4 linked regions of the Drosophila melanogaster genome follow. The protein of the gene in region 1 interacts with the protein of each later gene in a biochemical or structural test. Each region holds a gene or a part of one and is shown in the gene's direction. Other genes may lie near its edges. The genes, in order: tok, daw, myo and Actbeta.

Region 1 (5,741 bases):
ACTCATGACAAGTAAAAACACATTTTACCAAAAACATTGTTGTGATTGCACATTTTTCGTGATTTAACTAAGAATTAGAGCCTGATCTACAAAATGATTATTCCAATCCGTTGTTTCACCTGCGGCAAGGTCATTGGCAACAAGTGGGAGTCGTATTTGGGTCTCCTGCAAGCGGAATACACCGAAGGGTAAGTCACGCGGGAAAGTCTCCTTTCCACGCCGCATTTCATCATATAATATATATATATTATATCTTACAATCCAATCCCAGAGATGCCCTGGATGCTTTGGGTCTAAAGAGGTACTGCTGCCGTCGCATGCTCCTGGGCCACGTGGATCTTATCGAAAAACTGCTCAACTATGCTCCTCTGGAGAAGTGAACGGCACAATGGAAACCATCCAAACTGGACTTGGGAATAAAAACTCTAGATTTTATTGTAAAATTACAAATTAAAGCTTGATCGATAGCCCTAGAAGTTATGTATTAGCCCAAGTTGGTCGACCCTCACATCTTGTCCATGAACCACGGCTGTCCGTTGTTCTCGCGACGCTTGGTGAGAATCTCGCATCCGGTTTCGTTGACCAGCAGTGTCTGCTCAAACTGGGCGGAGTACAGGCCATCGGCGGTCACAGCAGTCCAGTCATCTGGCCAGGTTTCAGCCTTCTGGACGCCAACGGAGATCATGGGCTCGATGGTGAAGCAGTGGCCAGGGGCCATTACTCCTACGGCAGAGTTTTCTGCAAAGTAAGGACATTAATAATATTCAAAGTACTTTTAGCCAGCTCGAAAACTTACTGGCATAGTGAGGCACATTGGGAGCTGTGTGGAAAACACGGTGAATGCCATGACCGCAATAGCTGCGCACCACGCTGAATCCATGTGGTGCCACATACTTTTGGATCACGTTGCCAATATCGCGATACTTTTCACCCGGACGCACGAACTCAATGGCCTTGCTGAGCGCCTCGTGGGTGACCTGCACCAGTTTCTTGTGCTTCTCCGAGACATTGCCCACAAAGAAGGTCTCGTTGAGATCACCATGGAAGCCGCGATGATAGACGGTCACATCGATGTTACATAGATCTCCATCCTGTAGAGGACGCTGATCGGGGATGCCGTGGCAAATCACCTCGTTGACCGATGTGCAACAGGACTTGGGGAAGTTGTAGTAGTTGAGGGGCGACGGATAGCACTCCCGTTCGATGGCGGCCTCGTGGACCAAACGATCCAGTTCGTCGGTGGTGATGCCCACCTCCACGGCTTTGGCACCCTCATCCAAGCATTCTCGACCCAATCTGCCGGCCACTCGCATGCCCTCGATCTCCTCGTCGTCCAGCACCTTAATCTTGGTGCCCCGCAGTGCTTCCTCCGAGAGTGAACGTCCTGCTGGATGATCGGCGTAATCTGGACGTTGTATGGCGTTCGGAACTGTTCGCTTGGGAGTCTGTGGGAACGGGCGGAGCTTGCCGGTGAAGCGGAAATGTGGCCATGGATTGTAGGCTCCATCCTGTTCGGCAGAGTTCGAGGCACCGGCTGAGTCAAGAGAATTATATGGTTTCATTGCAATCCAACTCATTAGGAACAAGACTTTCTAAAACTGACCTGCTAAAGCATGAATCGCCTTGTGCTCCTTCCAGAATCCTTTGAAGCACGGCTGCGAGCAGAAAAATGAGCCCTTGATGCCCAACTTTAGGCAGGTGGGACACTGCAGGGTCGCATCCTTGCCGCAGTTGGTTGTCTCGCACTTTTGAGTCATTCTATTTCAACAATTAATGCGAGAAAAATTTCCGTGCCTGCCAAAAATAGTTTAACACAGCGTGACCGCACCGATAACGATAGAAAATACCTGGAAGCTTTAAAATAAATACCTTTTTATACCATTATATGACAATATATAAGCAATATGGCTTTTTGGGAAATTTGCCTTACGCTTCAAGCAAAATCATAATTCTATTGGTTTGATATTAAATACTGTTTTCTGATTAAACATTAAAAAAGTTGATATTAAATAAATACCAAATCAATGTTTAAGAATGGCGCTACATCGATATCCGATGTTTTCCAAGCACCGATAGCCTGGGACCAGTTCTGTTCTTATCGATACGTTTGTGCCAGGGTTGTTCGTCGCCGGCTGTAACGGGCATTAGTTTAAAATTGGAAATAACTTGATAACCATTTTATGTGTATTTAACCATTTAAAATGTTACTATTATGGTAAGTGATTCGTAAATAGTATTCATATGATAATTAACATAAGAAAAGAGTTAATAAGGGCTTTCCTTACAAATGGTTTAAAATCGTTCGAAATTTGAAAGTAAACAAATTAAATATGTAAGTTCTTCGCGGAGATCTTTGATCTGGCTAAGGGACACTGGCCCCGTGAATTCGTGGCCTTTGTTTTCGTCCGTCGGGGCGGCAGTTCAAACGCAGCCGCCTGTTGGGCACTTTTCCGCAGTTGTTCTCGGCGCATGCTCTTGGTGGGAACAGTTTGGACTTGGACTCGGTTTATCTGTCTGCTCTGTTTATGTTCTCAAATCGCGAGCAACTTCGGTCGTGAACGGACGTGCTTTCGCTGTAAACTCGGAATCGGTGTCGCGAAACAAAAGAATATTGGCAACAAACTTGTTTGAGTCAAATGGCCAAACGCAAATATCCGCAAAGGGCAGCAGGATAAATTTATTGGCCAGTGAAGTGAGTGAGTGTCTTGTTTCGAATTGGTTTGGCCAAAAAAAAAAGAGGACCCCTTTAATATTTCTACCTGCAAGGGATGCTGAGATTTCGGCAGAGTTTCGCATCATTTGCGAGCGCAACTTAACTAACTCAACAAGTGAATTCAAGGGTTTTCGCTCCTCCAATTACTGATTTTGTCCTCGTGATCTTCGTACTCGATTGAAATTCGATTACGATCGTTTTGTGTGTGTGCATTGAAATCAGCGTTATCAGTGTCTGCCCTGATCTTTGGTTTTGCGTTGAACATGTTTATTATTATTCATTTCTCTGGTTTCCCGCGCCCAACGACAATAAGTTAAGTAAACACGCTGTTTTTGTTGAGGATGCTGCTGCTGCTGTCTGTTGTCGTTGCTGCTGTATATGTTGCTGCTGCATGTGTTACAGCTGTTTCCATAGTTGCTGTTGCTGCTGTCACATGTGTTGCTACTGTCTCTTGTGCTGCTGCTGTTTCCAAAGCGGCTGCTGATGTCAATGTTGCTGCTGCTATCGCGTATGTTGCTGCAACTTTTTTAGTTACCGCTGTTGCTGCAATCTCATATGTTGCTGCTGTTTCTATGGCTGAAGGTGTTGCTTCTTTGTTGCTGCTGTTGCTGCTGATAGGAGCGCAGCATTCGAATGGCTATAAATAAAAAACGGCACGCGGTGTGTGCAGCAGTGAGAATCCCCCGGCCCGTCTCCGCCGGATTTTCAGCACCACCAGCATCGCTTGATTATTATTGGTGGGTGTTCTGCGTTTTACGCGACCACACACAGGCACACTGCCACACACACACTATTATCTTCGCCGTGCGGTTTCCACTTTTCCGCTTTTCATTCCGTCGTTAAGACGCAGCACATATCTCGTCAATTGGCAATCTAAAGGCCGCCGGCATAATTAAAATAGAATCATTTCTGATTTCGCTTTGTGTCGCACAGACATGTGTGTCTTATTTTGTTTGTTTGTTTTTTCTTTTTTTTTTGCAATACGGAACAATTGCGAAAGTCAAGGTGGCCGCGAAAAGCCGCGAAATAGTAGGGAATTCCTATGCGATGGCAACGAACTCGATCTCTGTGTACCCAACTCATCTTGTCTGGCCTTTTATTGATTTATTTTTTCCCCGGCAGTCAGTCTACTCTTTTTTTATGTTCCCCTTTGTTTTGACCAACGATCCTCGATCTTCGACGGCAATTAAAGGCAGGCCAAAATGGTCCAGGAAGGCAGACATCAGCCTTAATTTGCTTTGGTTGCATTGCCTGCTCGTCTTCGGAACTTTTTCATATGCTGCGCAGTGCGTACTTTGTTTGTTTGTGTGCCAGCCGAATGGAAGCTGATGGAAATTTATGCGTAGAGAAAGGTGGAAGAATATGAAATGGAAAATATGAAATTTTTGAATTGAGTTTGTGGAGGAGTGGGGGGGGGGGGCTGGGGCGGTACACCTAACACTTCCGGTTGCCAGAATATCAACTTCCGGTGGCGTAGAATTGTTAGCGGGGAAATGCTTTGGCACAAAAGACGCATATTGATATTGTTGCCCAGGCTGCTTACGCTCCAATAAGCACACCCACACACACACATAGGCAGACATACAGACGGGAAGGTCCTTCGTCCTTGGGAGCCAGAAAACGCATTTCATTTTTGCTCCAGTGAGTTGGCCCTTGTCTGGCAAACGTTTTGTGGCAACTTGGCCATTAAGCATTTCGTGTTTAAGCAGCAGGATCTTTCCCTCGCCCTTCCCTCTCAGGACGAAGGACCAACAGGACAGTACAGCAAGGAATAAAAATTGCCCGCGTATGCATTTCTTAACAACATTTCTCCACCACCCTCCCCCTTCGCTCCCCAGCGACAACATTTCATTTCATATTTTGTGGCAGCAGCGCTTTGAATAGAATTCATTTGGATTCCCTTTCCCAGGACACCTCGTCCACTTCCTTTTGCCTTTGTCAGCCCCTGGGTTTCCGCATCCCACATCCCAGAACCCAGATCTTCCACATCCCTCATCTTCCTGGAACACGCACTTCAGACTGATAGCGCCTGCTTAACAAATTTCTGCTGTATTTTTCGGTTCTTGTTCTCCACTTTATTATATTCCGTCTTCTTCTTTTTTTGCCATGGCAATGGGGATTTTTCCGCATTTTTAGCTGTCGCAGCAGGGTAAAAATTAAAAGCGAATTAAGTTCGAGGAGCTGTGGAGGCATCTAAAAGGTATCTAAAAGGTGGACAGCCGAAGATAACTGCACTTGACGCCGGATAGACCACAGGCATTATTAAACCCCAAATTTACCTGCCAACCAGGCGGGGTGGCAAATCTGCAAAAGAGATTTGAGTTATTTTATGGATATTACTAAGTATTCTGTATCTGCTACAGCAGCCATGAATTGGGGGGCTTTTTGGAAAGGGTCTTTATTACACATAACAAAAAAATTTATAAAAATATAGGTCTCTATATTCTTCAAATGGCTCAATCATAGTTATTTACTATTAACTTGCGAAAAATACCCAAAAGTTCCTGTCCTTTTATACATCTTGCACGTTATTAGTTTGCTCGCTGAATTTTCTCAGTGTAAGATCCCATGAAATACAAATATTTTTCCCTATGTAGGCACAACAGCTGACACCATCCTGCTAACAAGCAGCCGTCGCATCCACATCCTCCTCCAAAGTCCTCGAGAACAGGAGCACCCTGCCATTGAAAGTGTCACCCCAAGCTACTTCTTCTGTATTTTTACTTCATCTTTTGCCACGCCACTTTTTCTGCACCCCCTTCCCTCCGAATCACTTGGTTTCTTCCCAATTTCGGTTGCTATAAAGCAAAGTTAATGATATGTCGCAAGTGCTTGTTTGTCTGCCTGACTGGGGATGAGTGTGGGTGAGTGGCTCCACTTCCAGTTGGCTGAATACTGTCGTCGTTGCTGTGGCCCCATTCCATGTGTAATTAATTAAAGACTAAGCAGATTTTATATTTCACTTACTTGCTTGAGACTAATTTATGAGTATTTCCACTTTTTGTCATATTTCAAAGTCTGCACGATA
Region 2 (8,979 bases), on another chromosome or scaffold:
AACAAGAAATCCTCTGTAATCAGAAGACTTTGTTCTGCTGGCCCTCTTCTTAACCTATTAAACCAGGAATAGTAGAAATAGATTCAAATCGTTTCAATAACTCTATTTTTTGAGTTCACATTCTTAGACTTTACTTTCCTGATCTGTAATTTGAATCAAATGCTCACTAGACAGTCATAGAATTTTCCTGATCAAATGCAAGGCCAAAGTCTAGACGAATAAGGCCATTTATAATCAAATGAAGCGATGAATAGTTCAGAAAATATTAGAATGAATCTTTAGATGTTTAAGGTAACTTTAAGCTTGCAGTTCAAACGTGTAACTAAAGTCATAGTACCCCTATCAAGGGTATAAGCATCATATATTGTTGACTTAATTATGACACCAAAACACTGTTTTAATTAAAAACTGAAATTCCAGAGGCCCGGCCACGATAAGCCGTGCATTGTGACGTGTTTTTCAGCACGCGCGCCACATTTAAAAATTAGACGTTTCGAGTGAGATTTTGCCTCGATCCTGAGTATACAAATCACGAAAGGTATATTGTGCGATTCCATCGCATTATATTTGAGGTGAATGCTTTATTGTGAAATCTCAAGGTAAACAAAACTCGGAACGGACTTAATCAGTCGATTGGCATGAGGTTTGAAAGTGAAACACAGCGATACGCAATCAGAGCCAGCATTTAATTAATATTAGCCATTTACATACTATTGTCCTCCGAGGTAATCTCAAGAGACCCATGCTCGACGGGCGTGAAAACTTCAAAATTATGATATCACACATGGTAATCAATTGAAGCAGCCAGCAAGTTAAAAACAAGAAACCCCAAACGTCGTAAAAGCCACATCGTAAATTGGTCAAGAGGAAAGCGATTAGCTGGCCAAGAGCTAAACAAAAACAGGAAGGCATACGTAGGGTGGAGTCTGAAATTGAGTATACTTAGTTCATTCGTTATATTACATCTAATTGTTCAGTCTTTTACACGACATTGTTTGCATATTCTTCGATGATACATATGTACTTTCTTCTAGCATTCATGGTTATACGTCAATTTTAGTCATACCTCTCGCTAGTACCGCTTATTAATAGACATTGGGCCATCAAAAGAAAGCGATGGTATCGCTTTGGCTGTGAGAACCAATCGCCATTAGGCAATGTCGGCTATCAGGGAAAGTCAAAGGCAATCCGCTGGACTGGACTGCCGCTGAACTTTGGACCGGTTGGATCGAGCGATAAAACCCCACCGGCACGACGTCAGCTCACGTTTTTGGGTGACGAATGCTGGGGCTCGATCCTCATTCCCAACAAGCTCGAACTCACGAACGGCCATCGAACATGTAGCGCCGGCCAGCGAACTTGTTCGATGCTCCAGCCTCGAGCGGCGTGGGTGTTCGATGCAGGAGGCGATCGGATGGGAGCCAACCGGACCTAAAACGCTGCTGTGTGGGCCAGGGGGGAAAGCCACCCATTATCAGTGGCTCTCCCTGCTCTCCCTCTCTCTCTCTCTGTCGCACTTGCTGGAAGCAAAGTAGAATTGCGCATCGCTTAAAACGCAGAGCAGCGGAGTGCGCCAATGATCGGCGGCGTGTCTGTTATCAAACAAACTGAAACTCAACTGTCTGCCGCCCGAAGAGTGGGCCATACCCATACCCATACCCATACCCAGGCCCATACTCACACCCATACCGCTCCCCACAGATACCGTTAGTCGTACCGCTCCAGGCTTTTGTGGCCGCTGCGCCGCCCATCGTCGAATTATTCACACGCAGACGTTCCCAACGATCGGATCGAAAATTATTCAAATCGTGCAAATCGTACATGAAACTTGGTGTGAACGAATAATACTTTATGTTTCTTCAAAACATTTGTTTTTGCTCAGCGAAATATCAGCTCGTCATTTTGAGGAAATCAAGTTCAAGTGGTGAAATTCAAAACAATAATGAGTTTGCGAAAGTGATTTGCGAAAACAAATAAACGGACAATCGATTGTAGAATCACTCAAGGACATTTGATAAGCATCCCTTTTCGCAGAAGATTGCAAACAATGTGCTAAGTTATTCAAGCATTTTGACAATGGATTATTAATTTGGGTGAGTTACATAACACAAGGGCTTATTGTGTAAGAAGTTTAAATAAAAGTGCCAAAAATGTGAATTATGGAATCAGCCTCAACATGGGATACTAGAAATTGTATATTTTTTTTAGCAGTCTAATGCTCAATATCAGTTATTACCAAATCGCAGGGAAGTTTCTAGTTTCGCTTTTGGAATATCATGCCGTAATTAAAAACTAATCATGCAGTGAATGGTTTATCGATCAGAGGCCTATCTATCACCGATTGATTGATTGATAGTTTTCGAGCCTATAACCCAGGCGCATAACCTCCAAAAGCTCTTGGCGAATTTCGGCCACGTCGAGAGTCATTGGCCAAATTTAGTTGCTACCAATGATGATCTTATTTAATCCTGCACTTGATTTATGGTAGCATCGCCGATGAGCGTGTGGCGAGAAAAGTATTATGGCAGATTAATTTGCGACGCTTCGGGCCTCTGGCTTCTGGCAATCGGGGCAATCTCCGTGAGCGGTTCCAAAGTCCAGATCGTGGCATGCTCCCAACCGCTGATCGGCGAGAACGGCGTGATCGCCGTGATTTATTGCCAAAAACCGATGGAAGCAGCCGTGTTTTTGTCGCAGTGCATTCAACTGCTGCGCGCGAAGAAGAAATGCAAGTGATAATTGCCGGCAATTACGATAGCCCCACTCCAAGTCCGAGTCCCAGCCCCACATCCAGTCCCAGCTGCCCCGTAATTAATGCGAAAATGATACGGGCAGGCCCATGGAAAACCCCCAAGCAGAGTCGCTTAGTCAAGAAGCCATCTCCATCAAGCGGCTGTACTTTGCACCTCCAATCGACGCATCGCCAGACCCCCAACTCCCCATTCACAGGCACAGCAGTTTTTTGCTCCGATTTGCATCGACATGGCAACCGCGGAGTCTTCACTACAGCTTTTGCTTCTGATCACGCGCTGGTGGCGTGCTCGATGACGTAGCCATGACTGCCGGGCGTTAAATGACCTTCTTCAACTTCTGTCCCCCTTCCCAGCGGCACCCCTTTTCCGCGGGCCCCCATCACATCGCAGTCGCACGCCTCGGCTTCGATTCCTGCCTTTGATAAGTCGGTCAGTCAAGTCAGTCATTAAGTCCAGTGCAGTGCGGACAGCTCGAGTTACGTCAAAAACGAAGAGTACGTACAAAACGTGTCACATGTCGCGTGTGTGCTACAATCCAAGCCCTGCTTCCTGATCCGATCCCCATCCATTCTATCAGATCCCATCCCATCCGATCTGATCCGTCATTATGTGGCCCCCAGTCGCTTTAATCGACGTCAGGTTGGTTGTGTTGGAAAAAACAAAATGGAGCAGATTTTGGAACGTGGCAATCTACGTAGGTTGTGGAAAAATATGCGATGAGTTGATAAGTGGTGCGACATATGCTGAAGGCCAGGACGTCATTTAAATTGGAAAAGGGCCACTGGAAAAGTGTAATACCTTATGTAACTTATGGGAACACGTAAAACTAAACTTAATTGTGCAAGTCAAAGGTGTCATAATCTAATATGAAATTGGGGAGTATGCAATACTTATAGTTGTTTATTGTATTATTTCCTAACAAGAACCCCTATTAATTTGCTTTTGCTTAAGCCGCACCAACAATGTTGCCAGAATTCGCTGAGGCCTACAAAATTTCTATCAATTAAACGGACCTTCTCCTCCGTATAGTATAGATCATTTCTATTCGTCTCGATGATCTAATTGGGTTCAGAAAAATCACAGTTCGTGACAAGCGAATCGGGCACGTGTTCAGCATTTAAGGCTAAATCGAATAGGCGGTATAATATAACTCGTGATCTGCCGGCCTTCAAAATACTTTTCTTGACCTTACTCGACTGCTTCACATTTAGCCGAGACCAGAAATTCTGGCTGATGAAATTCCCAACCGAAATACTCATGAATTTCCCATTCGCATTTAAATTGGAAAACAGACACACTATGTATTTGAAATGCGCATCTATTAACCGAATCCGATTAGGATTGCCCAGAATCGCATGCTAAGCGTACTTAATTGGTTAAATGCCGCACTACATATTCCATGCTCCCGATTTGTGGACCAAAAGTGGGAAACCGCCCCTTATCAGCAACGTGTTCACTATTAATTGATTGACACACAATCGAGTCGGATCATCAAAGTCAAGCTTGATAACGCTGCGGGGTAATTAGCATGAATGGGCCACTCGACTCGATTCGATTCGATTCGATTCGGTTTGAAGCGATCATAAATTCACTTGATATCAAAATGCCCCATTGTGGCCAAGCGAGTGCCAAAAATGCCAACAGATAGTGACGCCGCCAACTGGGGGCGTGGCATTGTCAGGGTGGCGGGAGGTTAAAAATAAAATTGCAATTAAGAATTTTATGCAATTCGGTGGCTTGGCGTTTTCAAGAAGCTGATGCAATGCTGCACCCCACTTGCATATCCAATTGTCTTCGGCTAAAGAGAGAGCGCCATGTAGCCATAACCATGGTCTATAGTCATAAATCGAGACCCGAACCGCTCGGCTTGGATCCGAGTCCGCAACCGATACGAAACGATCCGTCAGATACGATGCGATTCGAGTGGTTCGGATTGTTTCGGTTCGGTTCGGTTCGGTTCGGCTGGCGCTCGCGGAACGATCAATCAAACGCTCGGCGATCGTCACATAAATTGTTCTACTAATCAGCCAACCGCTTCATTCATTCACAACTCGTTTGCGCTGCCGCATGTCGGAAGAGAAAGAAGCACCATACTATATCATAGACCATACCACAAGTGGAATACTATATAGACGCGCGATCCCAGCTATAGCTAAAGGCCCGTGCCACTCGTGTTTCGTGTCCGGGTTCAAAGTTAATGCCGCAACCCCCGCCGGATTCATCCGGCTGAGCAGATTCAGATCCCATTGGAGCAAATCGGAGTGTGCTCACCACGGTACGTGTGGGGTCCACGTCCACCTAATTGCCATCTAATTGAGCCCGCTTATCAGCGGATCTGCGCAACTACGCTTTCGATTTGAGTCGCACTTGGGGCAAATAGCCCATGTGATAATGTGAAATTGAATACTGAACTAAACTAAATCTTCCCGGAATTAATGTCAAAAAAACGATTTGCACTTTGCCACCTGCCAATTCGAGCTCAACGATATGGAATAAATGATGCAATTTGGTGCAAAAATTAAGCGAGACTTCGGGCTTAGTGAGTGATAGTGATAAATGCACCTGATCCGCTGGCATATTAAATTGCATTTTAATTGGGGCAGCGCGTTCGCAAATATTTATGAGAAAATTTAGGGCATAGCTGTTTTAATTTATTTGATTAATAATCGGAATGTGCTTACAATATTAACTAAGTTACAAATTTCTTCTTATTTGCAGACGAAACTTAACGAAAAGTTTAAAATATTGAACATGCATCATTCAAGCGTATAAGTCGTTGTTATATAAAATCATAAAAAACGCATAAACGTTTTAAAAGTGCTTAAACAAGGCTATAAAACGGCAACAATAAGTGAAACCAGCTGCAATTCTATGAGTTTTGTAAACCTGAAAGCCGGAAAAATTGATGTTTTAATGCTGCCAAACAGATAGCAATCAGCCCCAGCCGACAAAACAAGAGTGAAACCAAAGGCGATCCAGAAGATCATAAGATACATATAAAATATCTCACAGTTAAAAAAAAAGAGAAGTCATAAGTACATATTCAGAAATGGCCAAGTACTTTATAGCCCTGGTGTTGCTGGTGTGTCTGGCCCTGGAGAACAGGAACGTATACAATCGCCTGCACGCCCGCTCCCATCCGAGTTCCCGTGGCGACATCCTTCGTCCGCATCCTAAGCACCAGCCGCATCCCCATGTGCAGCACACCTCGCAACAGCTGCAGCAGCAACACCATATCCGGCAGCAACGATCCCGTCAGCTGAAACACCTGGAACCGGATCCGACCAGCGAGGAGGACGATGTACCGATCACCAAGCGGGAGTACTATGCCCGCCTGAGGCGCCACGTCATCCACAAGAGGCAGCACCTCCTGCAGCAGGAGCTCAGCTACAACCATCCCGGCTCCCATTCGGAGCAGCTAAAGGTGCCCCGCCTGTGGCAACACCTCATGGAGCAGGAGGAGAAGGCACACCGACATGTGAGCCCGCCCGTGGAGTTGCCTATCATGTACGGAGATGCCCCCGAGGAGTCATCCCTCTCCTCCGATGATCACTTTGATGATCTGTCGCCGCTGGACTTTGTGCGCAACGAACTGATGGCCGAGGACCAGCAGAATCAGGAGAAGGATCTCGATCTCGATCTGGACCTAGATCAGCAGCCGGAAACGCCCATAGAGCCAGAGCTCCCATTGGGTGAGAGGAACATCACCATTTCGGTGAAGTCCAGCGCCGGAGGATGCCCCAAGTGCGAGAGCAATCGCCAAGTGGAGCACATCACCGAGGAGCAGCTGACCCACTTACGCATCGAGTTCGTTAAGCAGCAGATCCTGGAGAAGCTGCGCCTCAAGGAGAGCCCCAAGGTGTCGGCCGTGGAGCTGCCCAAGCCCATCTTCGACGGGATGACACTCTCCCATCCGGACGATAGCACCAAGAACAAGGAGCTGGACGATTACTACGCTCGCACTAGCAAGAAGTTCATACTGCTCAATAGAGGTAAGCAAATCTAGATTTAAGCACTAGAAAGTAAAGATTGAAGCTTAACTTCAAAGGGAATCCTTTTACCATTCTGATTTTGCTAACACAACCCTTTATCCTTTATTTTTACAGAGGAGGTCGAGTGCAACCGAGCGAGAGATGGAAAATCCAATCCGTCCATGTGCTTCACCTTCAAGATAGACGACGCAGATGCCGAGGGCTTCGACGTGAGCACCGCCGTCCTGTGGCTCTTCAAGAACAAACAGAACCGCACCGACACGGCATCGGTGAACAGCACCAGTGCCCAGCAGACGATCGTAGTCTCCGAGGTGGAGGTGGATCAGCAGAAGGACTCCAAGTATTTGTCGGCGGCCAAGACCATAGCCATCCAGTCGGTGAATGTGCAAGGTGGGTACACATAGTATACATTAGTATAGCATAAACACTCATCCCCCCAGAGCGTAATCATGCCCAGAAAAGAATCGCACACGTTTGGACCTTTGGTCGGCAGCCGCGGAACGGCCAAAACTGACCCTCAATACCCTCGGGGGACAAATCAAAATATGTGACATGTCTATACTAGATGGGTATTATAAAAATTATAAAGAACGCCGATAAGTGCCAACGTTGACAACCGCTTGTTTGTGTTTTCAATTAGACAGATCATTGCGCAGATTCGTGATAGCACTGCTTGATAGCTCGGCTCGAATCTGAAATTCATGTGGGTGAATAACTTGACAAAGCATTATTCGTGGGTGCAAAAACTGAACTTTGGCCACAACCCAGCACAGTTGTGAGTTCCTGGGGTCAGTTACCAGATAAGAAAGATGGGATCTACGATTCTGGGAGAAGAGAAGATGGCTCTGTGGAACCCCCAACTAACCGCTCTGCCTTTCCTTTCGCATACTTTCAGATGAGTGGATGAAGATCGACATTGAGTGGCCCATCAAACACTGGATCAGTGGCCACGAGCTGAGCCACCTCATCCAAATCACCTGCGGTGGCTGCGATGTCAGCGACATGGAGGAGATCATTTCGGTGGACAAGGATTACCGGCCATTCATCGTGATCGACATGCAGAACAGGCGGCGCAAGAGTCGCCAGAAGCGCAGCATCAACTGCTCCAGCGGAATGACCGAGTGCTGTCGGGAGCACCTGTACATATCATTCCGGGACATCGGCTGGAGCAACTGGATCCTGAAGCCGGAGGGCTACAATGCCTACTTCTGTCGCGGATCCTGTAGCTCGGTGGCGAGTGTTACGCAAGCGGCCTCCCACCACAGTTCCATAATGGTAGGTACCCCATTCGACAGGAACTGATGTGTTGATGATGAAACTAATGTATATCCTCTTCCCTTGCAGAAAATTCTCTCCACGAGCGGTGCTAACAAGTCGCTGGAGTTGGTGCCCTGCTGCACCGCCAAACAGTATTCCTCGCTGCAGCTGGTCGTGATGGACTCGAGCAACACGGCGACGGTGAAGACGCTGCCCAACATGGTGGTGGAGTCATGTGGCTGCAGATAGAGAGGCGAATAGAATTAGCCAAGTTACATTTACGTTACATCGGACAAATTAGACGTAGACTCCATTTCGCTCCATTTCAGCTAGCATCCAACCATCCAACTACATTTCTCTCCAACTAATTTAAACTCATTTTGCAAAGCATTTACATTAGCGTTGTCATTTAATCGTAGTTACCTGTAGTGCCTGAGCTGCCACTAGTTGATAGTTAAAAGCTAAAGTCAATGTACTTAAGCTCTCGAAGTATGTAGGTAGTTAGCCAATGGCTTCAATTAATTTAATAGCTATCTTTAAACGTAAAGTAGTGATTTGCATTGTTTAAGTAGCGTGTTTTGAGTTATTAGCAGAAAACATGAAAATCGCAAAATAAAACATAATTAATATAATGTAAGATATGCATTTTTCATAGGGGCAGCGTACCACAAACTCATCGGAGTGCATAATGCACATTACTGTATAGAAAACCAAGTATCTGAGTTACAATATGGAATGTAGGGTCTTAGAAAATATCCTAACTAATTAAAAAATGGTAAAACGTTGTGTCGAAAATGTAATTGGTTTGTAGGAAGTCCATGGAATATAGCATACCTTTAGGCACTTTACAGTTTGGTAAGCTCTGCAATTCAACAATTGATTTGTAAAAATGTATTGCTTTTTAATAAACAGCTTACTTACCTGTTCGTAAAACGTCACAGAGTTTTTTTTATAACTGCAGAGTGATTGATTTTAAT
Region 3 (8,930 bases), on another chromosome or scaffold:
TCAGATCGAACCTCCAACATAAAAAGTTGTAATATCAACTTTAGTGACGAAAAAATTGTCATTTACTTGATAAACACACTATATAAACGGTACTCATTCCGCACCCTTTTTTACTTATCCACCTTTCTTTCCACTTTGATTTTAAGAGTGCCAAATGAGTAACGCCCGCAAATTACAATGGCAATTAATCTAACCGCCACCAGCTTAAGCTATCGACCAATATCGAAGAGTGTTTTTCTTTTTATTTTTTCTCCATCTCTCAAAAGAGAGTAGGAGTAAAAACTCCTACCAGCAATGTAAGGGGTATCTGTTAGTTACGATCTGCGTAGCTATATTATAATATAAATCATAGACTAATCACAGATGTCATTACTCGGTATATATAACTATTTCCTTTTAAGAGCGTTGTCCCTTTTTTAGAAATGTGCTTGTAAGACTTCATTCTGCAACTTTCTCTCTTAAACACGGTGGCGATCGGAGAACATCTTATGGCCTCACCGAGTGAGTGGCAAGCCAAAGGGCATTACATATAATTTTAAAAAAAAACGGTATATTCCGAATGGGTGCAATGTATGACACAAAATAAAAATATTAGAGTTTCTCTTCTAATATTTTAAATTAAATTTCTGACCTTTTAAATGACCGTCGTCACTTTTTGGTTAAACCAATTCGAAATTAATTACGGTCAAAAGCCTTATTAAAAAACTTTCGGATCATAATTATTTCGACTAATATATGTACTACCTGCAATAATAAGAGGGCTTTTGGGAAAAATTCACACAGATGGGTTTAGTTAGTAGGGAATAATATTTACAAAATATACATACATATTTATATTACGAATGGTCGCACATGTATCCTGATTCTTTTATTAGATATTGATTGTCACACATTTTCTTCGATTTTCGGATGGGGGAAAAACAGTATGTGATTAAACACTAAAACGAACGTTCGTACAATATTGTTTATGCAATATTGTTTATATTTTCTGTGTATTTTGGTATTTTGTAGTATCGATTGGACTTCAGCACGCATCTGCTCGTATCAGGATGGCAACTCTCGGCGTGTAAAAATACAAACGGCAACTCTTAACATATATAGAAATCGATATGGCAACCCAATACCAGTGATTGCGTAGAGAATACGTTATTTTCAAAAATTCGATGCAGTAAATAAATAAATTCACAGATATAAGAATGATAATTTAGCAGACCTAAAGAATCGGTCCATTAATGAGCTATTAATAGTTCAACTAATCTACTCGTTGAAAATGTTGTGAAAAATATTTGAAAGCCAACTAAAGCGTTTCCTATTGTTAAACCATTGCAGAGCGTATAGTGATTTCTGTCAGAAAATTGCAACGTAGTGGAAATAATAGAAAAAAAATTATAAATTCTTGTTTTTGATCAGGAAGTATTTTAGTTCTGTATTTATCGGTTGAATGCGTGATCGCCATTTTCGTAATATTAGGTTTATCGCACGATTACCATCTATATGTGCGTAGATGAAGGAAAATTGACGCACTTGTTGAAATTATTTTATTTAAATCTTTATTATAACCAAAAAAAAATCGTAAATTGTTAACCACAATGGAAAAAATAAGTAGCTTACAATCCATCCAATAAATAATCTCTTATCAGTTACTTTGTTGATACATAAAAGAAGTCTTCTCCATTTGAATTGCTATTCTTAAGTAAAACAACAGAATTGCTGATACAAAGCAATAAAAATAAGTTAGTACAGTGTGAACACCTATCGTTTTCTTCCATATCGATAGGAAACTCATAAATGTATGTGTGGAAAGGCTTAAACATCTGTACGGGCGTCGATATATCGACAGCTAATCTGGAAAACACTAGACATCGCGGTAATTGTCCCTACCCTTTTTATGGAGTTCCCAGATTGCCTTCTTACACAACCATATTAATGGGCAATAATTATATAAGAAGACTGCGGAACAAAGGGGACCCGCACGAATATGTACTTGATTTAATATAAGTTTCTTTTATACACATAAAATTATTTTTGCATACTTATGTAAGTGCGTTGGGTACTTTTTATTAATTCCAGAGTAACGACATTTTTGCCGTTAATTTAAAACACGAAATGTTAGGACAAGAATGCGGAACTTCGGTTAAATTTTAAAAATTCCTTTGTATCAATATAGTCATTCCAGTAGTACAAATTAATACGCATGTAATTTTTGTTGTATAATAGCACTCAATTTTGTGTAATAAAAAAAAACAACTAGGGAACCAAAATTATAGAGACAAATCAAATCCTGCTAATAAAAATATATCTTATATAGTTTCTTCGGGTCTATTTGAAATCTTTGAAATGTAAAAATGTCTACACTCATAACTTATAAGAGTTAAAACGGCTTAAGGATTAAATTGATTTACAATAGAAAGTGATTATTAGCGACAGTGGAAATATAAATAAAATGTTTTCTAGAATTGTAAAAAAAAAAGTAGGAGTATATTCAATAAATATTTCATTTTAATATAATGCTATTTTGCTCGATAAAAATGTTAATATGAATTAAAGTTTACTCTTGCAATGCGTTTCAGCAGATACATTTTTAAAAGCGGCCTGTTATGCCAACTAAAACGAAATTGCCGGTGAGCCGTATGTATCCGATCGCATCTGATCAGCTGCTTTCAGTTCTACTTCGTCGCTCAATCGCACAGCAGTACAGAATCTCTGCGGGTTTTCAAATATTGGTTCTCTATGAGAAATAAATTATTATTATTTAGTGCGCAATTGAATACACAATTTTTTCAAACTATGTGTTTTTGGACAATGAATAATAAATTTAACAAAAGCGGATTGCAAAAGAATAATGTTCGAAACCGTAGGCCCACTGTTACTTCAATATAAAACATTTAATAATATATACTATACATATATTAAAACACACAATTGCCTAGTTTCAAAATAGATTTTGGTTGTACAAGTGTATAAAAATAAAATAAATACCGATAGATAAGTATATATCTACTTATGTACAATTGGTAGGTGTTTAAAAAGTTTGTTATCGCTAAATGTACATAACTTTGTACATACACAGCTTTAAAAATGTACATATGTGCTTATATGCATGCTATTTATTCTGTATGTATGTATAATTTACGTATGTACATACATATGATATATCTCATTTACGTTGTTCTGCTTGTAAAAGGGGAATAATGCACTTTCAGCGATGAACTGAAGTTCAAGAGCACAATAATTTATTATGTTTATAAATGGTTTTAATTGAATACAATAGTGGTCATAAAGAGGACTCATGTGAAACGTTTATGAACGGGCTTTGCATATGTGCATGTACATATGTAGCTTGAACTAACTTTTACGACTGTGTGCACATTAGGGTGGTCATTTTCTGCTGGCGCATCGCGCTTCCAAGGCGGATCAAACAATGCAGATATGATTTTTAATTTTTAAAAATCATTATATCCGGTGCTGCAGGATTTTATACTTCTACTATATTCAAAGTAAGTTTTTTCGTAGCCTGAAACAAGTTTTTGAAGGTTATTATTCCGTTATTCCGAGTTTTAGAATATTCACGAGCACACAAATCAAGTGACGATCGCAGCCTCACCGTGCCGATTTGTGACGAAAAATGGTTTTACAATTGTCAGTGTTTTTTCCTAAGCTTTATAGCCATAGAGCCATTTTTCCCTATGGCAGGTATATAAGTGTATGGTCGTCTGATTTTGATCGATTAAAAACCTAAATTATATATTTTCAAAAAAATGTGCATACTGAAGAAGAACTCTTTTTATTTGAAAACAACGAGTCTATAATTTTTTTCAACAGTTAGCTATATGATATGATCGTCAAAAGTCTATCAATTTAAAACCGAAATATTATATTGTCCAAATTTTGCCAATAATTTTAATATTTTTGAAGTTAGAGATCGTCAGTGGCGTAAGCTATTCAATTTTTTTTTTTTTTTTTTTTTGTATTGACTCGCGAAGGGGAATCATTGACTTCCGTGCTAATGCTTTAATAGGGTTTAAAGGGGTGCGCTCTTCTTTTTTCTCTGCACAGCTGTTTAAGGTATTACCTTGGGAATCCGACTTAATCGAATACAGCAGGGGATTATCTAACAGCTTGTATTTCGCGATTTGATTTTTAAAAAAATTGTAAAATAAGGCCAACAAGAGCCAAGTTGATTGGATGACAAGATCACCAGCCGCTGTCTCCAAAAATAAATAATAATTATTATTTTTATTTTTTCTTATTTTAAAATATATCAAGTATATTTATAAATACAAGTCCTTTTCAGCATTCATCAACGGTTTGATCAAAAATCATGCTGGCCAACTCATGCTGCGGTTGGAGAAAATATAAAACCCATGATCAGCATCATAGAACCCTAAAGAAAAAAACTCGACAGAACACATCAGATACAACAGTTCACATAGAAGTGAACTCCAACGAAATCCAGTTTCCAGGTTCTTACAGATTTAATCTTGACTCAAAAAAAATAAATATCGGGCGAATGAATATTCTTGGACATAAGAGAGGTAATTTCCGTGTAACTCGATATGTCACGGTCACCGTACTCTTAATTTTATCGACTGCAGTCAATGCTTATGCTCAGCCAGAAAATAAAAGCTTCAGTAATTCTTCCAACAACGATAGTCCGGAAATGGTTATGTTGAGTAACGAAACAAACAATAGTGCAAAAGTACTATCAGAAAAAAATGGTTCTTCTTCAATATCGGCGGATGATAAAATAAATGAAAATATGGGAATATTCCAAATGAAAGTACAAAGTAAACCGGGGAAAAAAAGTACCCCTTTAGCAAAGGTATCAGAGCATGGAGATTTATCAAGAGTTCAAAGTGTATCTTTGTATCGCAATACCTTAATAAATATAGAAAGTATGCTACAGCGTCAGTTGCGTGAGAAAGCCAAAGTGGATAGTATAGAATCGATTAAAATGCACATACTTATGCGCTTGAATTTAAAAAAACTTCCCAATATAACAAAACCAATTTCAGTACCACAAAATATAATAGATAACTTTTATAGAGATTATAATGCATCTTCAAAAACTACTGTTTGGAATCGCATGGAAAGCATTGACGAATCTCATTTGTCTATAAATGACACTTATGGCGACCACATAATGACTGATTTTTTTGATGAAAGTTCATCCTCCCAAATGCAGGGAGATGATGCTAACACTGTTAATGAATTTCTGATAGATTTGAATAAAAATCAAGCTAAAAAGTCGGACATTCCTATTAATACCAACGATGAGGAGTACGAGAGTATTTTGTCTCACATCAGCAGTATATACATATTTCCCGAGGGTAAGTAAACAGCATTCTTAAAGTAGATATAGATATAGGAAGATATTGAATAAGAGAAGATATTATATATAAGAGTAGGTATAGATAAAGGGAGGAAAAGACAAGGAGAGCTTAAGAGAAGTAAAAAGCATATATAACGTCACTAAAATCTGTGTAAATATATTTCTAGACTTTTTGTAAGTAAGAAGCATAATCATTTATCTTATATTTATATCTTTTTTGGGCCCGATTTGGTTATAGGTTTAGATTTCGAACTTTTTTCCTTTAATAAGAGAAAGCAAGCAAAAATACATATGACTTCTTCTCTATCTTTAGAAATTGTTTTCCCAAAATTCATTGGCGTAGTGTATTTTCAAAAAAGAATCGACACATTTCCTAAAATCTTGACGAGGTAAAAGACAAGTGGCATTGACCCCTTTAACATACAAAAAATGAACTGTTTACAACAAACATTAATCAATACCCAATTTTTGCTTTTAAGAAATCAAATTTCAATGAAAAAATTAATAATTTTCGTTTATATTTTCGTTCTTTTAGAAATTCAACCTCATGTTCGGCACAATCGCAAGGTCGATGTTTTTCGGTTTCAAATTGACAGTAGCTACTCAGACTTGTCTTACGCTACCCTTCATCTATATTTACGTGGTTGGGATTGGATAAGTGCTCATCAACCTGGACTTCTTGAAGAAATTAAAAAACAGCCACGTAAAGATATTGTTGTGACTATTCACCGCGCTATTAGGGTTGCAAATACAACAAGCTTTAATCCTAAAGTCAAAATGTTTGAGTTTCGACATAGTATTCCGTCAGGACTTGGACAATGGGTTGCTGTGGACTTAAAGTCTCTGCTTGGTAATCTTGGGTCTAATATGACGCAAGAAATTCTAATAAAGGGCGCAGAAACCTGGATGAAGTCATTAGTGGTGACCACAGACAACACATCGAAAAATCCATTGGTTAGAAGCCATTTATAATGAAGTTGAATACACTTACTCTACTAAATATATTTTTAATATTTCAGACTGTTCACATAGAAATTGGGTCGCAAAAAAAGCATCGAAGAAAGCGCAGCGTATATATGGACTGCACAGAAAATGATCATGACATGCGCTGTTGTCGATATCCCCTCAAAGTTAATTTCACCAGCTTTGGATGGCATTTCGTTGTAGCACCAACGTCCTTTGACGCATACTTCTGCAGTGGTGACTGCAAAGTTGGTTACCTAGAGCAATATCCCCATACACATTTAGCAGCCTTAACGACATCGGCCACACCGTGTTGCTCGCCGACAAAAATGAGTTCCTTAAGTTTGTTATATTTTGACGATAACCATAATCTGGTTTTAAGTGTTATACCAAATATGTCTGTCGAGGGTTGCAGCTGTTCTTAGCGAACAAAATTCGAAAGTGTTCTTTGAAAATAGAACTAATACATATGCTATGTAAATAAATTAACGCAAAGGAATATGGATCTGTTTGAGAAGGCTAGTTTAAAGTACAATTCCCAAATTTGATATAAAATTTACATTTTTAAAATGTAAAATAGGTCAGATTGCATGCTGATGATTCCCAAATTAATAAATAGATCGCAATTAAAAACAGTAAAAAATTAAAAAATATTTAAAAATGAATTCCTACATTACCGTATAAGATAAGTATAGAGCGAAACAATATATTTTAAACTGTGCATTACGAATTACAAATGAAAAGCAAACAAAAAATAATCGTTTTAAATAAAATGATTGTATGACGCATAAAGAAATACACGGTTAAAATAAACTAAGTACCTTAAGTTTTGATAAAAATTGAGTGAATAACAAATGGCACCGTCAGACAAATATAGTCTGAACGGAGGCTACATGTGGATCATTTACGGTTGTGTGATTACCTAATTTGAATACACAGCTAAATGTATAAAGGTGTTCATATCCCGTGCATCGTGAGCATATAGAATATTTTACAGTGAACGGCTTTGTGCGTGTGCAAACGAGACTTCCATATGCTGTTCTTTTCAAGACAAGTAAGGATTTGTATGAATAATGTTGATTAGAACAAAGGCTAACCTTACGTTTCGCAAAGCACACAGAACTTATTTCATAATAATTAAAAGTTAAATAACGTGCCAGAGAAATATAGATATACAAGTAGCAATGCAGCGCAGTGGCGTTACAGCGCTCACTTTCTCTATCTCCATCTACATAGTGTTAAAAAAAAATATGCTAGAATTGGTTAGTTTTGAAACTTATTCCGATTAGTTCCTACGATATAAGCTCGAATGCTTGGTTGAGTGCCAAAAAGAACTTATTTTTCTTATGCGTTATTTTCGAATCTTCTATTAACACTACTTGTCGCAGGATTGGCTTCTAAACGTTTGCAAGAGTACTTAGGAGTTGTCAATAATAATAATTTTGACAAGTGCTCCAACATTAGCTGATGATAGGTAAGCACTTAAAGGGGATAGTCGTGAGATGATTGTGTGACATTCCGAATATAGAGTGGGTGAAGATAAAAACTCTTGAAAAAAATTACGGCATTTTGCCAAAAACTTAGGCTCGCTAAGGAGTACCATCGCCAAGGAGTCATACGATCTTATCTGGATTACACGTCTAAAGCGTTCTCTTGTTTTTTTTTTTTTAATAGAATATGGGTTTCGATATACCTAAGCTTTCGGTATAAACTCATAATGTCAACCCCCCCCCCCCCCCCCTTTTACTAATAAGCCAACCAATTTATTTATTTCCGAAAAATTTATTATATAACCATTTAGTGATACATTAGTATATAAGTTGATATACTTATATTTCCATAAATATTTCTCATATAAATTTAGGGCTCTCGGTTCTTAAGTTGGCCCTTTAATGTGAATACTAATCAGTAAAATGGGAATGCCGATCTAAGTCGATATATGAAATGTACTTTAAGATATATTACTTTTTGTCGAACACAATACGGATATTTTCATATTGTTAATATTTTGTTTTTTGTTGTTTAATGTTTGTTATTGGGCGCTTACTTCTCTTTTAATTACTTTTGTATTATACTTATAATTATAAATTTTAAATTAGGTGAACGTATTTATATTTTACATCTATATTAATTCTTATTGTTGTTTTGCATAAATTATTTGTTTTTGTTTCCCAATTGAAGTGATACCTCGTTTGAATTAGTAAAACATTCGTTGTAAATGTATTAGCCGCCAATTATAAGTTAAATGCAAGTCCTTACAAACTGTGTACAAAAATATTTACTACTCTTTTTGTTTGTACGTATTACAAATTATATTTTTTGAAGACTATTCAATCTTTTATTTGAGCGTAGCACAATAGAATTTATTGCAGAACCAAACGGTCGAATTAAATATGCCACCAAGATGTTAAACTTGGTAAAAATAAATTAAATAGACATTCTTTACGTCTTTATTGGAATTAACATTTTATTGTTGCACAATTTTTTGCGCTATTCTAAAATAAAAGATAAAATGAAATTTAATTTGTAACAAAATATGTAAGCAACATTTTCAGGTAAAAACATTTAAAATATTGACTATAAATTGCAATTGTGAAGATATTATATTTTATAATTTTTCAGAAATAAAAATGTC
Region 4 (9,054 bases), on another chromosome or scaffold:
CACTTGTCCTCTTTAAAGGGGACTGAAAAGACATCAGAATAAGATTTAACTTTTATCATTTATGTCAAAATATTGTTAAATATATTGAAAAATCAAAGAGTGACGTTGCCGTGCGTCTTTGTCTCTGGAAGCAACAAGCGGACAGGGTCAGATCGACTCGGCTATTGATCCTGATCAAGATATATATACTTTACATGGTCGAAAACGCTTTCTTCTAACTGTTACATACTTATCAACGAATCTATCTTTTATTCTACGAGTAACGGGTATAATAATATGTTACAGAATTATGTAGTGTACACAACAGAATATTCAGGTGTTCATTTACCGTCATCCCTTGAATTCTTTTGCGATCGAAGGAAATGTCTTGGACGGTTGCCCGCGCTTTATTTGTGAAACACCTGTTAGACCGAACCGGAAAAAACCTACCCTTCGATCGCGCCTCTGTTAATTTTCCTTTCTGCTTATATATACTCCTTACGTGGTTAATTCGTGCATTAGTACCAAAACTGGTGTTAAGTCACTAGCAAAAGTTCAATGATCTTAAATATTATTATTATGTTATTATATATGTATGTATTTATATGAAGAATTCTGACCAATATAAGCTCTAAAAAAATATTCGAAAATTTTTTTTAGTAGCTTTTCATTTAGAAGGCTTTTCTTTGGTTATTCCGCATGCTAAACGGTGGGTAACTATTTGTGTTCATATGTGTGTATGTGTGTATATGTAAGTATATAAATATTTTTGTAGAATTCGCCTGGTAGCTTTTGATATAAACAATCGGTATTCATATGTTTTGGTATGAAATTCGGTATTTCAATCGTGGCTCGTGGCTTTTCACGGTCTGCAAGCCAACCGAGACAGCTTTTCCGCCGTTTCTTTTGGTTGTTTTTGGCTGCTAGGTACTGGAAATGCTACTGCTGTATATATTATGTTATGTACTATTTATTTATACTACTTACTTTGTTGGTATACTCTTTCCCGGAATAATACATATAGTTATTTCCGGAGATTTTCGGGAGCCGAAAGTTAATACATACAGACAGAAGGGGCTTTAACAAGTCGATAGCACATAAAACCAGAATAACATGATATCGGCAAACTAAGGTTTATATACTCTTCCAATTAAAACAATGTCTTGGATAAAGTTTTTTAACCCGTGCCACTAACGTAGACGACCGATACATGCCAGTCAGTCCCCTTGTCCGTCGGTCCATCTTTATAAAAGTCAAAACCTATAAAACTATAGATATCAAAAAATTGAAGTTATCCGTCCAGATTCTAGTAACTCCTACGAGGCTTTTGCTTGTATCAAAACGTAAATTATTTATTTGTTATGTCTATGTACATGTATGTATATGATGAAAACAACCAACAACAAAATATTCGTATTCTATTTCTAGTTTGATGCAATCGTTTCGAAGGAAGTAAAAAGTAAATGTAGCCAATAATTGTAGGTATTCCGGTGAAGTTACGTATACATCCTCTTTGTTCTTTCTGTTAAATATTCTTCAGAGAGTACGGTTTACCCTTTTTTTGTTAACAAGTAAAGGATAAAGAAATATTATCTGCTGGGCTTTTCCTTATATCGATTTGCATAACTAAAATCAGCAAAATAATAGAATACTTACTCGAATTTCACATTTGGAAAGTATGTAACAACCAGAAGGAAGCGTTTCCAACCATATAAAGTGTGATCAGGATCAATAGCCGAATCGATCTGGCCTTGTCCGTATGTCCGTGTATCCGTGTGTCCGTCCGACCGTCTGTCCGACCGTCTGTTCGACCGTCCGTCTTTCCGAATGAACTCGAAATCTCATGTACTGTACGTAAACGTAAAAGCTTGAGATCAGCATACAGATTCAAGCGACATAGACGCAGCGCAAGTTTGTTGACAGATGTTGACACGACCACTCTAACGCCCACAAAGCGCACAAAACTGGCACGCCCACATTTTTGAACAATTTGTGGATAGTTTTTCATAATTTCATCTAACGCCCACAAACTGCACAAAACTGCCACGTCCACACTTTTGAAAAATGTTTTTATATTTTCTCATACATACTTTTTCATACAAGACTAATAATCTTGTAAATTTCTATCGATCTGCAAAAAACATTTTTGCCACGACCACTCAAAGCGCTAAAATCGACCAAAACTGCTACTCCCACGTTTATGAAAATGTATTGGATATTTTTCATAATTTTATTAGTCTTGTAAATTTCTATCGATTTGCCAAAAAACGCCCAATATAAAGCCCGCAAACCACGAATAACAGGTATAACAATTTTTTCCCATTTTATTTCCCCCTAATATCGATATCCCAGAAAAATGATGAAATTTTGCGTTCGCATTCGTACTAGCAAATGAATATAATATTAATATTTATATCTTGATTTGAATCTAACTGAATTGGACGTAAAGTTTTACAGATAAATCTGTTAATGTTTAGGCGCACATAGATCGACACAAGATCGACTGCTAATTTGGAATTTTGGGTAAACGATTCCATCTACGCTTAACAACATTTTTATTTATTAGTTACGATTACGATTTAAAAATGATTTAGGTTATTGAAATTCATCCATTTGAATCTGCCGACTTTTTAATCGTGAAAGGAAGCATATATCGATAGCATCGATATTCTTTCTAATTTGAATGGCAACAGATATTTCTGGTGCAAATATGGCAACGCTGAAATATTGTTATTTTCAAGAAAGCTTTTGAAAAGCTTAAAGTGTCATCTTAGTTTCACAAAGTATGCAATGTCATTTAGCAACCAACGGAGATACAAAATATTGTTTCCGTGCTAAAAGGAAAAGCATAATACATTTATAAATCGTGAAAATGTGATAGTGTCCCTAATATTTCTCGTGAAGAAATATATTTACTTAGTTGAAAATTTATTGTTTCTAAAAAGAAAAAGGTGATACATATTGTTACATACACTGATCATAAGCCTATACACATAACCACCTTCCTTCTTACATATGTACAAATTTTTTTGTTGAACGCATGCTTTTAATTCCTCTTCATCCCTTTCCGCTGCTAGGCTTCTAAGTAACCACCATTCAGGCGTAGGTCTTTTCATCTGGACACAGTCTGTGTGTCGCCTTGAGTTCTTCAGAAGGGACGGATGAGTCTGTCTGTCCGCTTCTGTTGGTGCATGGTATGAAGTATTTCTGGCGTAATAATAACTGTGCCATCCGAAGCTCGGCGTCAGGTTTAGACTAATTTTAATGTGTTGTACCCTTTCAAAGTGTATATTGATTTAAGTCAGTTTCTTGCAACGCAGTAAAGGAGACAATTACGACCACACGAAGAATATATGTTCATCTGTATGGCTAGCAGTAAGAGCCGTAACCGTCCGTCCGTTTCAACGCAAACTGGTTCAATTACTGGTTAATTATCAAGTAAACAAGTATTCGGAGAATATATCATTTAAGATTTGTATACCCGTATATATATTCCCTTACTCGTAGAATCAAAGGGTATACTATATACGTTAAAAAGTAAGTACCATGTAGAAGGGAGCATTGCCGAGCATACAAAGTATATACAGGGTGCGGCAGCATAATTTCCTTTTTCAGAACTCAATGAAAACTATTGTAGGCATCGGAAAAAATTTATTTTTTTTTATATTGTACGTACATGTCATATTTTTTGAAGATGAAATCTGATAGGTGACGTCCCCCATTCTCCATACATTGCGTAAACCGATTTCTGGCGTTTGTCGTGAGTCTTGTTAGCATGGCAGGTGTTATGATGGCAATTTCTTCTTGGATGTTGGTTTTCAAATCTTGTAGGGCTCTTGGACGGTTCACATAAACACGGGACTTCAAAAAACCCAATAGAAAAAAATCACAAGGGGACAGATCGTGCCGGCCATTCCAAATCGCCTCTAATTGAGATAAGGCGCTCTGGAAAGTGTTCCCTCAAAACAGCCATCGATGCTCTTGAAGTATGTGCTGTTGCACCGCCTTGTTGGAACCAATTTTTGTATATAAAAAACACTTTGGCCACAAAACGAGCGAAACGGTCACGCCCACATTTTCAAACAAATTTAAAACTTTTTCGTATCTTTTTGCACAATATTTATAAATATCCCTGAAAAATTATGAAACTTCGCATCGGGGAAGTCGACTATAGCTTTCTCCGGTGTTTTTAATTTATTTGCCAATTTGTAGCCTCCTCTCTTGTTTAGTGTCCATATTAATTTCCAGTTAGCTTACCACTTATCTAATCGAAAATTTGTATTTTGAACAGGCAGACGAAATGAACGACAGAAAGGAAAGGAAAGGAAAAAGATTTGCAATGATTAAAAAAATATTTACCAGAAAAATAAAATTGACAATACTTGTACCACGTTTCTAAGGGACAGTGCCTGTACTACACGCTTGCCATATATCAAAGATGCGATTTGCCTTCGATTCTAATCATTCGCAATCGGGGGCGCCATTCAAAGGCAGCAGGTGTTTCTTTAATTGTCAATGCATCTGCTGTCGCCAAGGATGCTGCGTTGTGGTTGTAAAGTGCTGTTGCTGCTTTAACTTAAACTGCTGCAACAGCCTTGGCTCCCGGAAGTCATTTCCACAACCCGCTGCAATGCGTAAAAAAGTTGCTGACCTCGAAGTCCTTAGAGTATCAAGGTTTGTGGCGGTTATTTTAGTGCTGGCTCGGTGGGTTACTGCGGTAGCGACACTCCTGACAAGCTGCATACTCCTAGACATATTTTCCGTGCCTGGCCAGTCTGGAGTTGCAGATAGAAGCCAAGCCAGCAGTAGGACAGTGCACGTCTCGGTTCCTACCACACCTAATGAAACTCCCAGTAGCACTTCGGAGACGAAGCTAAAGTTGCTTTATGGGTATACATCGTATGACATAAATAACGACCAACAGGTAAAGTCCAACAATTTATGTAGAGTGCTTTGTAAAAGTCGCAATCGTAAACGACAGCGAAGGAGGCGACGCCGACGCAATCACAGACGACGCAGGCACAGATATACTAAGCGACTTCATCATCTAATGCAAGATAATATGAGCGGCTTTGAGCAAAGACTTAATTTTAGCGATGCCAAATGCCAGTCTTTGGAGACAAATTACGGAACTAATTATGACTTAGTACAAGGAGGTAAACTATTTAGTCAGTCAGAGAGAAGCCTACTGGTGTCCCCTTTGAGGGAAATTGAAGCACCTTGGCCAGCGATTCATGGTTCAATGCGTAACTGTTCAAAGATTAAACGCAATAGAGCCAATCTTATTTGGCTTCTAATTGGACTCGTCTGGTTTGAAGTCAAACTTATAAATTGCAATGGGATCAGCAGTAGTAATTATTATGCTTCGAATTTGGAGAGTCACAAGGGCTGCACCTTGTGCCATGAAAGCGGAAAGCCCAACATATACACCGATAAAGGTCAGTTTTCAAAAAAATTTTTTACATACTGAATATAGGGTAATCTTTTAATATTCTTATTGAGACTAAAAAAAACTACATTGAGTTTGGCGTTATTAAGATAAAACAGATGTGAGTTGTTGTGAAATAAGCGGTTATCGTACTGTACCAAAACTATTGCAATGCAGAATTTTTTGTAAAATAAATTTAATTTGTAAGATTTTTGTGCTATTTTTAAGTAAAATAAAATCATTTTCAATGATTAAATTAAATATCTATTGACAAATGTTGTACCACTAGTAATGTAAATAATATTTAATACAAGGACCACCCGCAGTAAGCCTGGGATATTCATACCCCCTTAAAAGGGTAAATAACAAAAAATACAAAATATCTAGAACAAATTTTCATAGTCTGGGTGAGTTTTTATCTTAATATTGCAATTTGTTTATCTTAAGGATTGGAAAAATTTGCTTGCTACACGATTAATTTCGTACATATTTTTGAATTAAAACATTACGAGTCTTGAAAGGTATTCCTGTCTCGTCTAATTTTATTGTCATAAAATAAAAAAATTATATATTGTTCTTAACGTAAAAACGAAGGAAATGTCGCTCCAGTGACGTAAATATGTACAATACTAGTCAAACTCGGTATTGCAAAAAAAAACAGTAGAGGTCATAGGCGCTGGATTTCAGAAACTATAAATAGATTTGATTATTGATTTTATTTCTTTTCGAGATTTTTGTGAACCATAAAAATAAATCCAAATCTTAAAATAATAATGCTAGCAAGACAAAAAAATATTTTTAAAAAACGATAAAACTTGTGTGATATCGGGTAATGAAACTTTACTAAAAACATAAAAACACTCCATACAACAACAAAAATTTATATAATGAATTTTACATAACACTTTACAATTATCACATTCACACAGATAATCCACACACAGACTACAACATCTACAACAAATACCATTCCAACAATAATTTCAACAAAAAAACTAATCAACCCCATAACAACATTGCACCCAGCGATGAAGTTCGTTTGGAGTCAATAAAACGGCAAATTTTGACAAAGCTTGGTCTTAGCCACAAGCCTAATGTATCTCATCCTTTACCAAAGCAATTTATTTGGGAAACAATATATCGAGTCGATGGTGGACGAATGATACCAAACAATGCATTTGGGAGCAGTGGTAAGAATTTAGATCAGAAGACTATCAAGCTGAGGGCGTTTGCCTCGCCCGGATCACATTTGTTTAATGGCCGAGGTGGAAGGACCGATCAGAGAAGCGAACGGGATCCCAGTCATCATAAATATCGATCCCCGTTCGATTTCACTTTCAATATAAGTAAAAATAATGTATATGGGAAAGTATTGAGAAATCGTTCTTTAGAACGAATCGATAAAAAAAACTCATTCTTAAACGGATGGACAGAAAACCGTCAATTAAAAATAAACTCTCAAATTGCATCTATGCCTATAGAACTAAAGAGCCACCATAACAGTAGTCCTAAGGAGCTTAAAAGCGGAGCGGTCAGAAAAGTTAATGGCATCAACGGCACACAAATGAATGAGAATGCCTTAAAAAAATCTACATATCCTATAGATATAAATCATAGTATTGATAATAAAACCCATACTGGCAAAAATGGTGAGATGAGCCACAATGATTATGAATATTTTAACGATTACAGTGTTCAGACTCATGATAAAAACCGGTACCATGAAGGTCGCTCTAGCATTGGATATCAGCCAGCGATCCACAACATAGAATATGAAAATCAGAAAGGACATCACGAATCTTTTGCTGATGATCATGAAAATATTGATCATGAAGACTTCTTTGGAAATACGCAGGAAATAATTACATTTGCTGAAGAGGGTGAGTAGATTTTTATTCAACACAGGATTAAACGCTATCGTCGAGGGCAAATTAAAAAATAAGAGACGTCGAGTTCGCCGACTATCAGATACCTGTTACTATAAATAAGTAAATATAAATTTTATTTTATACCCGTTATAACTAGTGGGTACGCAAACGCGAAATTTCATAATTTTGCTGGGATATCGTTGGATATTACGGGGAAATAAAATGAGAAAAAAATTGTATAATTCTTTAATAGTGAGGGAGTGAGCCTCTTGGGCGTTTTGTTGGTGAAAGGATGTGCGTGATCACAGTGTTTTGGTATACCGGTGGAAATTAGCAAGACAAACAATAAAACAAAGAAAAATCTAAAAAAAATTTTCTAAAGTGTGGGCGTGGCAGTTTTTTGGCAAATCCATAAAATTTTAAAAGACTAATAAAATTATGAAAAAATATCCACAAATTTGTCAAAAAAAAAAAATTGTCGGCGGCATTTTTTGGGTCGTTAGAGTGGGCGTGGCAAAAAGTTTGTTGACAAATCGATAAAAAAAAATGTACAAGACTACAGACTAAAAATATGAGAAAATATCAAAACTTTTTCAAAAGTTTTCGGAGGTTTGTGGGAGTTGGCTCAACACACGTGCGATGCGTTTAGGTGTCTACAATCGGTATGCTTCTAGCTAGTATGCTTCTAACCTTCTAGCTTTTATAGTTCATGAGATCTAGACGTTCCATACAGACATGGCTAGATTGATTCGGCTATTGATCCTGATCAAGAATATATATACTATATATAGTCGGAAACGATTCTTCCTGCCTTTAACATACTTTACTATACTATACTATACTATATACTATAGTTACTATTATATATTATTATATTATAATATATATTAATATATAGTAATAGTAATATACAGTAATAAAAATAAGAAAGAGTGATCGTGCCCAAAAAACATTAGGCAAATCAGTAGAAACCGGCTTGTGGCGGTATGTATGGCATACCGATAGAAATTGGCAAAACAAATTATATAATGACTAAAAATAAAAACGCTTTCTTAAAAGTGTAAGCGTGGTAGCTTGTGAGAGTGCTTCTTCTCTGAAATTTTTAATTTTTTATCTGAACTTTCTAGATTTTACAGGCCCTGACATCGATACGATCGATATGGACAAAAACGAATATATTTAAATACGTTATATTAAAGTTGAAGTAGTTGAGGTTTTTTTAATGTCTACCAATATCCGCCATCTCTAACGCCTACAAAACGCTTAAGAGTACATTTTATATACAAAGCTTTGATTTTTAGTTAACTGTACAAAAATTGTAAACTTTACAATATATCTGTTTTTGAAGAAAAAAAACAATGCAATATATTTTTTTGTAATTCGCTCATATGACTGTGTGTAGTCTTCTTATTCATTGGCATAATATATTTTATTTTAAGGAACCCAATATCGACAATATCGAATACTCGAGTTTTCGGCCCAAAACCGCCGTGTTCCCAGCCAAAAATTATCCATACGAAGCGCTCAGATTCATATAAGGATAGACAAGCCACATAGTCTTTGGATTGAAAAAGCAAAAAGTTTGCCAGAAAAACATTTACTAAACACTAAACGAAAATGGGGAGCAAATAAACCACATCACAGAATAAAAATATGGGTATTTCAGTTATCAACTTCAATCAATATTACGGAGAAGGTAACATTAAAAATATTGTTTTTTAACTAATTTTTAAAGCTCTTTATTTATAGGGAATAGATAAGGCTATTATCTTCCGAGCT

What was found.
Region 2: of the proteins of tok (region 1) and daw, one has a biochemical effect on the other in vitro, tested with the Drosophila melanogaster proteins (one study listed by BioGRID).
Region 3: of the proteins of tok (region 1) and myo, one has a biochemical effect on the other in vitro, tested with the Drosophila melanogaster proteins (one study listed by BioGRID).
Region 4: of the proteins of tok (region 1) and Actbeta, one has a biochemical effect on the other in vitro, tested with the Drosophila melanogaster proteins (one study listed by BioGRID).

Annotation. Positions count from the first base shown.
Region 1 is NT_033777.3:24,717,525-24,723,265, forward strand, and holds the start of tok (tolkin), read left to right. Parts: upstream 1-2,172; 5' UTR 2,173-2,215; intron 2,216-2,532; exon of another isoform or gene 2,533-2,696; intron 2,697-5,741. Other genes in the region: Polr2L (RNA polymerase II, I and III subunit L), read left to right, coding at 94-188, 272-380; CG13630 (uncharacterized protein), read right to left, coding at 506-738, 797-1,534, 1,604-1,757.
Region 2 is NT_033779.5:2,803,509-2,812,487, forward strand, and holds daw (dawdle), read left to right. Parts: upstream 1-1,752; 5' UTR 1,753-2,093; intron 2,094-4,813; exon of another isoform or gene 4,814-5,028; intron 5,029-5,471; 5' UTR 5,472-5,802; coding exon 5,803-6,745; intron 6,746-6,859; coding exon 6,860-7,135; intron 7,136-7,640; coding exon 7,641-8,020; intron 8,021-8,089; coding exon 8,090-8,251; 3' UTR 8,252-8,868; downstream 8,869-8,979.
Region 3 is NC_004353.4:689,781-698,710, reverse strand, and holds myo (myoglianin), read left to right. Parts: upstream 1-2,655; 5' UTR 2,656-3,014; exon of another isoform or gene 3,015-3,373; 5' UTR 3,374-3,497; intron 3,498-4,294; 5' UTR 4,295-4,321; coding exon 4,322-5,330; intron 5,331-5,867; coding exon 5,868-6,286; intron 6,287-6,351; coding exon 6,352-6,720; 3' UTR 6,721-8,025; downstream 8,026-8,930.
Region 4 is NC_004353.4:1,078,490-1,087,543, reverse strand, and holds the start of Actbeta (Activin-beta), read left to right. Parts: upstream 1-2,747; 5' UTR 2,748-2,930; intron 2,931-4,270; 5' UTR 4,271-4,417; coding exon 4,418-5,417; intron 5,418-6,336; coding exon 6,337-7,287; intron 7,288-8,714; coding exon 8,715-8,971; intron 8,972-9,024; coding exon 9,025-9,054. UniProt on the Drosophila melanogaster protein: Controls several aspects of neuronal morphogenesis; essential for optic lobe development, EcR-B1 expression in larval brains, mushroom body remodeling, dorsal neuron morphogenesis and motoneuron axon guidance.